Linked DNA regions of Macaca fascicularis. The protein of the gene in region 2 purifies or fractionates together with the protein of the main gene of each other region. This does not show direct contact. Links are inferred from orthologs where the notes say so. Each region holds a gene or a part of one and is shown on either strand. Other genes may lie near its edges.

What was found. Proteins that work in one complex are often made in the same cells at the same time.
Region 1: the proteins of HIP1R (region 2) and PICALM fractionate together in Homo sapiens (co-fractionation; 3 studies listed by BioGRID and IntAct, with this or other methods). This does not show direct contact. The link is inferred for Macaca fascicularis from reciprocal best matches to the Homo sapiens genes HIP1R and PICALM.

Annotation. Positions count from the first base shown.
Region 1 is NC_088388.1:85,049,537-85,053,052, forward strand, and holds part of PICALM (phosphatidylinositol-binding clathrin assembly protein), read right to left. Parts: coding exon 3,461-3,516; intron 1,261-3,460; coding exon 1,137-1,260; intron 890-1,136; coding exon 753-889; intron 1-752. UniProt on the Homo sapiens protein: Cytoplasmic adapter protein that plays a critical role in clathrin-mediated endocytosis which is important in processes such as internalization of cell receptors, synaptic transmission or removal of apoptotic cells.
Region 2 is NC_088385.1:129,950,427-129,954,701, reverse strand, and holds the start of HIP1R (huntingtin-interacting protein 1-related protein), read right to left. Parts: upstream 2,815-4,275; 5' UTR 2,752-2,814; coding exon 2,659-2,751; intron 1-2,658. UniProt on the Homo sapiens protein: Component of clathrin-coated pits and vesicles, that may link the endocytic machinery to the actin cytoskeleton. Binds 3-phosphoinositides (via ENTH domain).

The sequences.
Region 1 (3,516 bases), on a different chromosome or scaffold from region 2:
ACTGGGACTCAGATATCTGTAGTTTAATAAACTCTCCAAATGTTTCTGATGTTAAAGTTGATAACCACAATCTCACTTGAAAACAAGTTCTCAAAAAAAGTTAAGAACTAAAAGAGCCAGGATTCAAACCAGAATCTGACTTTTAAACTACTTTAAGCCACTCTGAGGTAAAAGACAAAACAGGTTTAGAAAATGTCAATTATTTTACTTTACCCCACAATATTATATTTCCATGTTAAGTAGCTTAAATTAGACAACAAGATTATTAAAGTTAGTGTGGTGGGCTTCAATACCAAGAAACCTGGCAACTAAACTGTCATTATGTTCCAGATTACAGAGTTTAAAACCAGGAAACAGATATGACAGATGTTTAATATCCAATGAAATGGTATTTTAAAATATACATCATACCCATATGTCAAAGAGCTATAAAGGGTCTTGAAGCATTAGATGTCTCATAAATGTGTTTAATCATAATTTTTACACAATAAAAAGTTTGCCCAGAGATAACAGCTATATTCCTATTAGCATAAATCAGTGATTTAACTATATTTCATTTCCTAAATAAGTAAAATATAAACTCTCACCACTTTATCTTTAGGTATTATACCAATATCACCATTTATCGCCACCTCTTTGTGTGAATAGATTATAAAAGTATAAATAAAAGTAAACCTGAAAATTCCTGCAAAATTTCTATTAGAAGTGTTTGAACCTACGTATTCAAAGGTAACCTTAACTTCTACTCCTACCTGTTAGAAGAACTAGGGGTAGAAAATATGTCAATGGCTGGTGCAGTCATTATCCCTCCTGCTGAGGTGGATACAGGAGAGGCTGCAGTTGTTAAGGAGGTATGAGGTTTCTTTGCAAGTTCCTTTAGGCGCTGTTCCTGTTAAGAAAGGGAACTACCATAAGGATTCCAGAAACTAGATTTGTTTGTACAACCTCTGAAAAAAGCATTTTCTAATTTGTTCTGATAGCAGATATTCTGTTTTACCTAATTCTATGTCACGATGAAAAGTCAGACTGAGTTTCAGCCCATTAACACTATACATTTAAGACTCTGTGCAGAGGCCCCATTTACCTAATGAACACCTGTACTCATTTTTCCAAATATGGAGAATGCACAAACTTACCTTTAAAGCTTTCAAACGTGCCTGTTCTTCCTCTAATGCTGCCTGCTTTTCCCTTTCATCCACTTTGGTCAGAGATAGACCAGTGCTTGCCAGGGAAGACACTGCATTGGAAAGTGTAGTTGCCCTAGGATAATTGAACAGAGATAATTTGGCTTTTTGCTAAACACTTCACATTACACCCAGGTCAGGAAATGGTCTGGCAACCTTGCCATGGATAGGCACTATAATTATAAACTTAACTTCTGGATTCAAATCCAGTACTTCAGATGAAATATTCCACCCAGTGATCTACGGGATTAGAGCAATTAGAAAAATCTTGACTTACATATACACTCACTGCTTTTAGAGTAAATGTTTGACTTTGGAAAGGGTTCACAAGAGAGTGGGGCACATTGCCTCTTCCAAGCTCCAAGAGGGGAAACCAATGCAATTGGGAAAGAGCCCACATACTCCCACAAAATCCCTGATGGGAAAAAGTGTTGACCTTATCACAGTGAAAACCCTCTGCTAATTTACAGCCTACGTTTTGGCAGTGCCACAGAACACCAAAACATGCATACCAGTAATACGTAACGGAGGTCTAGGTATGTTTCACCTATAACAACATCCCCAGAGGACTTCAGGTTCCTTCAAAAGAAGACTAGTTTCAATCTAGTCACCAGGTCATCTGGCATCTTTCTATGTGCTGCCCTTTTGCCAAACTAGAATTTCCTTTTTAATATACACATACAATGTATCATCTTTTACTGACAAGCCATCTCCTTTCCCTTTTATCAAAAAAGTATCCACATTATAAACCTCAACATTAACTTTCCAAATGTTAACTCTAGGCTAAGTAAAACAAGTGGTAAAGAATTCTAACCTGAAGAACTACCTTGAGCTTTATTTTCCTTTTACCACACACTAATCATCATTAATTTCTACTCTAAGCATGTAAAGTGGTAAAAACTCTTTTAAATTTTACATAAAATAGTATTATAAATAAGCCAATAAAAAGGTACAACTCAGAAGACAAAGGAAGAGTGACATAGTTGACAGAAATGCAAGAAAACCAATACATTTTATGATAAACATTTCAGGTAAACTGGTACACCTGAACTACATGGCTTTTTTCTTCATTATTCTCTCAAATAAATGAGACTTATTGTTTTGACTGCTACTTCGAAAATCCTACTAGAAAATTCAAAGTACAAATCTAGGATTAAAAATAAGTACTAAAATCTAATAATGGCATTTTCCGTTGAAAATAATTTAAATTTTATTACTAAAAGAAAGACTAAAGTTCTGAAACAATCAGAAAGTCTAAAAAGAACCAAAGGAAAGTTCTCACCATACAAATTCTTTCTTCATGTTGTTTTTAAAAAAGCTTCATATGAAAACATGAGAGTAACTCAAGTAATTTCTTAACCCAATGCAAAAATCATGTTACCAGATTGATATGAAATGATGTGTTACTTTCAATTTGCGAGGTTAACTGGTCTTAGTCTGAGGAATTAGCTTAAAACATAATAAAGTGATTAAAATATAAAATATCAATAATCAACCCCATGAACTGGCATTAGACAGAGATGATGCAATTTGATGTCAGATATTCTAGGTTTGAGTCCCAGCACTGCTACTACATGCTTCACAGTGCTATTGTTAGGATTGAGCAAATTAATACAAAAGTATCTTGTAATTACAGGCCCGGCACGGTGGTTCATGCCTGTAATCCCAGCACTTTGGGAGGCTGAGGTGTGCCGATCACTTGATTTCAGGGGTTCAAGACCAGCCTGGTCAACACGGTGAAACCCTGTCTCTACTAAAAATACAAAAATTAGCCAGGTGCGGTGGCATGCATCTGTAGTCCCAGCTACTTGAGAGGCTGAGGTGGAAGAATCGCTTGAACCCGGGAGGTGGAAGTTACAAGTGAGCTAAGATTGTACCACTGCACTCCAGCCTGGGCAACAGAGTGCGATTTTGTCTCGGCGGGGGGAAGAGAAAAAAAAAGTATCTTATAACTATAAAGCATCATACAAAACAATGCACTATCATCTTCAGGAGAACTTTTGACATCATAAACACAATTCTAAACTATGCAGTCACTGTCATTATCTTAACAGATGCTGACATTTATTGAAGGTCAGAAACTATTTCAAGAATTTGCATGTATTAATCCATTTAATCCTGATACTAATTCTATGAGGTTGATATTATGATTAAACCCATTTTATAGAAAATCAAATCAAGATAAAAAGAAATTAAATAGCTTGGAACTTGAGCTGATTTCATCTACTCCCTCAGAAAAATCACTCTTGATCTTTGTCCTACAAAGAATGATGTACCTGCTTGCAGCTGTAGAATCTTTGATTTTCTTTCCTTCCAAGGAAGCTAAGTGTTG
Region 2 (4,275 bases):
TTTTTTCCACCAAAGGGACTAAAGTCATAAGGAAGAAAAGCATACACTGGTTTTCTGGACACTCCCCTGGGATTATAAACACACACCATGCAACAATCACAGGCACCAGCTCCCAGCAGGCACATGATCGTCTCCCTTGCCACTCCTGAGTGCTAACCCCAGAGATATTTGCAAACAGGGTGTGTCCTGTCAAAAAACCTCACAGGAAAGCAATTATCTTCCTCCTGACCCAGGAGCCCAGGGGAGGAAAGCGAGGCTGGCAGGCTAGTGAAGATTTAAATTCTATGCCAGGCTAGTGCTCCCGCACAGCACACAGTGCTGTGGTCAATGCAAGACAAGCAGCGTATTACAAAGGAAGCCAGGTCCCTGGAATGCATGTGCTATTTTCTGTCCTGAAAGAGACATGGAAGTAGCAACCTCAGCTCTCCAGGTCCTTTTCCACCATGGGGCCTGGCTGGCGGCTCACTTGATTATTTCTGGGAACGATCTAATTAAATATTAACCACGTACAAAACCTCATTCTTACATTCCTCAATAAGTCACTGTGAAGACGAGCAAACCCAGACAATGAACTCAAACTCCATCTTTCCAGAAAATGGGGCCCTGGAATAGGTGAGTCCTGTGACATTCACCCATTACAAAGTTATTCATTGTAAGTGGCCCTCTTAGCCTCTGAGAAAAACCCGGAGCAAAACAAAACAAAACAATCCACCTTCAGCAAGGCGCCTGTAATCCCAACACTTTGGGAGGCCGAGGTGAGGCGGGTGCATCGCCTGAGGTCAGGAGCTCGAGACCAGCCTGGCCAACATGGTGAAACACAGTCTTTACTAAAAACACAAAAAAATGTGGTGGTGCATGCTTGTAGTCCCAGCCACTTGGGAGGCTGAGGCAGGGGAATCGCTTGAACCTGGGAGGCGGAGGTTGCAGTGAGCTGAGATCCTGCCACTGCACTCCAGCATGGGCAACAGAGACTGTCTCCAAAAAAAAAAAAAAAATCCACCTTCTTGTGTATCAAACCAACCACTAAAATGTGTGGTTGTATCAGAGATTATCTCTTTGACACTCAGGAAGGTTGCTCTTGATTTCTTATCATTTAAGAGTAAGATCAATGAAGTTGGTCCTTCACATCCCATCTCCCCCATGTAGCAATCAGACCTCTTTATACCTCCTCAAGGGCACGAGAAAAAACTCAGTGAATAAACAAAGTTTCTGACAACATCCAGATCTGTCTGCCAATTAAGGTTTTCTCCCTGTGATCTACAAGTTCCTGGCACAATTAATTATATATTGGTGACTTTAAATTAAAAGCCATACCTTTTATTTTTTTTAATGACGGGCTATCCTGGCTGAACCAGATGATGGTGATGATGATCACAAGGATAAATTGATAATTTGCAGCCAGGTGGGTTCCAGCACCTGGCATTTCTAAAGCCTTGATATCCTCAGGATTTATTATCGCTTTCTGGGTCAATCCCAAGCACAAAGGTTAGAAGGTGTCCCTGAGTTCTCTCTCATTTCAAAACGAAAGCTGTTGCAGAGTGCATGTGCTAACTAGATGTGAAGGCAACCGCAGAAGTCATCGCTCTCTGCAAGGACAAGTGGGACGGAACTTGCAAATAGCCGCCACAAACGCAAATGTCACCAACCTGCTTTAGACAGAGGTGGGAGGGATCCTCTGGCTTCCTTTATCTCTAGAGTAAAGTTTTTCAGCCATTTCAGTCTTGGTTGACTTATTTTGGCAAATAAACAATTTGCCCCCCTCTACCGCCCATCCCCCAAGCCTGAGAGCACTTCAAGAGTTTGTAAAATAAAAAGCAACAGGAAACCAGAAACGCAGCAATGTCTCCATCGTGGGTCTCCGGCACAAACACAAGTACAAAACGCACACCCGCGCCCTTATTTAATTTTAAAGCCTTCCCAGGATAGGCATCATCTGGAAGAGATACAGGCGTGGGAGGCGCAGGAAGGGAGCCCCAGGAAGTTTCTGTCTGTCGGGCGCCGGTATTTAATGAGGGGGTGTGCACCTATTTATACGTGGGCAGCGCTCGGGCAAACAAGTCTGGCGACAACGAGCAGCTTTTCACCCAGCAAATAATTGGAGACTGGGCAGCTCTGGGAAGCCGCTCACGAGAGAAGAAAGCTGGGAGTTTAAGGAATTTCCTTTAAGGAAACTGCCCGTGGGGACATCGGTTTCAGGGGGTCGGAGACGGGGGCGGGAGCCGGCAAGGAGCGGTACTGAGGGCGGGGGCCCCAGTCGGGCCGCGCCGGCCCCGGGAGCACCTGGATCCCCAGACCCCTAGACCCCCGGCGCGCTGGGCTCGCGCACACCCAACCCCGGCCCCATCTCCGTCCCCCGCCGCCTCAGCTCCAGCGCTCCCGGCCCGCGCACACCCTGACCCCGGCCCCCTCAGCCCCGGCGCCTCTGGGCCCGAGCGCCCGGCGGGAGTGGGGAGCGCGGCTTCCGGTTCACCTGCGCGCCGGTCGGCTCGGGCCGCGGAGGCCGGCGAGGGGCAGCCGCGGAGCTCTCGGAGCGCCCGGGCGGACACAGGCCCTGCCCCCACGCTGTCCCCCGCCCCTGGCCGGCGCCTCCCGGGCCCCAGCGGTTCGCGCGTGAGGGGACAGGGACGCCGCTTGCCCGCCCGCCCGCCGCCCGCTCGCCTGAGTCTTGTCGAACTGCTCGCGCTCGGCCTCCAGGCTGTGGCCCGGCCTGCGGCTCAGCACCCGCGCCGGCACGTTCTTGATGCTGTTCATCCTGCCGCCGCCGGCCGCTCTTGCCCGGCTCAGTCCGCGCGACTCAGCGCCTCACGGTCCAACAGCCCCAGCCTAGGCACCGCGAGGCCGCCGCGCCGCGCCAGGGCCCGCCCGCCGGGGAGGAGCCCACCTCGCCCCGCCCCCGCGCCCGCAAACTCCTCGCCCGCCCCCAACTCCAGGGCACGCCCCTCCCCCCGCACACCTCCAACCCCGCCCCCCGCGCCCGCATTCGCCCCGCCCGCCCCCAACTCCAGGGCACGCCCCTCCCCCCGCACACCTCCAACCCCGTCCCCCGCGCCCGCATTCGCCCCACCCGCCCCCAACTCCAGGGCACGCCCCTCCCCCCGCACACGTCCAACCCCACCCCCAGCGATCCCCGGACACGCGCCTCCCCCCGCACACCCCCAACCCCCCAACCCGCGGCGACCCCGGCACACGCTCCGCCCCCCACACACCTCCAACCTCCATCTCACAAGGTTGGGGCACAGGCCAAACGCCCCCCCCAGCTCCTCCCCACCTCTAATCCCCTCCCTAAACCCGGAGAGGAGGGGAGAGGGAGGGGAAACCCCTCCCTCCTCCTTCCACACAGGATAGGGACCCCGGCCAATTCCCTCTCCCAACCCCTTCCCCGAACTCACTAAGTCTTGTCTGCACCAAGGCAAGATCTGGTTAATTGGAGAAAATCTGGCCTCCATGAGTCTGGTCGGTGGCAGCACAGATAGACTTTTTTTTCCTTTTTGGTCTTAACGTATGTGTCAAAAGGCACACAGTGACGCTCTCCCCTCTTTGTGCATCTCTGACATAGCTGCAGCTGTTATCCATGCGGGGTTGCAGGATGCATTTCCAGAGACGCAGCCGGCTCCGCAACCGGACACCTCGCCAGCGCCAGGGACAATGGGGGCTGAGGCCGGGCAGTATTAGGCTGGGACAGAAGGCAGGCGGATCTGAAAGCAAAGTACACCAAGGAGATGCCGCCGGGGGTGGCGTGAGGCTTTTAAAAAACATTATTATTGGCTTCCCCTTAAAATTACTGGTCACAAGACTGAAGTAAAAAAATAAATAAAAGCCCAGAGTCCTCTCTAAGCGCAGCTCAGATGGGTGTTTTGTTTCTGCTGTTTCCCTTTCCTATCGGAATGCAGATGTGGAATCGTGCATAAAGGTCCCTTGCTTTTGAAGGGAGAGAGGCACCGCCTGCCTGTAAGGAGGAAAATGACGCCCACGTAATCCTAACCCTTGTCTCCTTAGTGAGACTGTAACCTCAGGACCCTTTTGTTTCCTTTCTTTCCTTTCCTTTCCTCCCTCCCTCCCTCCCTCCCTCCCCTCCTTCCTTCCTTCCTTCCTTCCTTCCTTCCTTCCTTCCTTCCTTCCTTCCTTCCTTCCTTCCTTCCTTCTCCTTCTTTCCTTTCTTTTATTTTCTTCTTTCTTTCTTTCTCTTTCTTTCTTTCTTTTTTTTTTTTTTTGAGACGGGGTCTCGCTCTGTCACCCAGGCTGGAGTGCAGTGGCCAGATCTCAGCTCACTGCAAG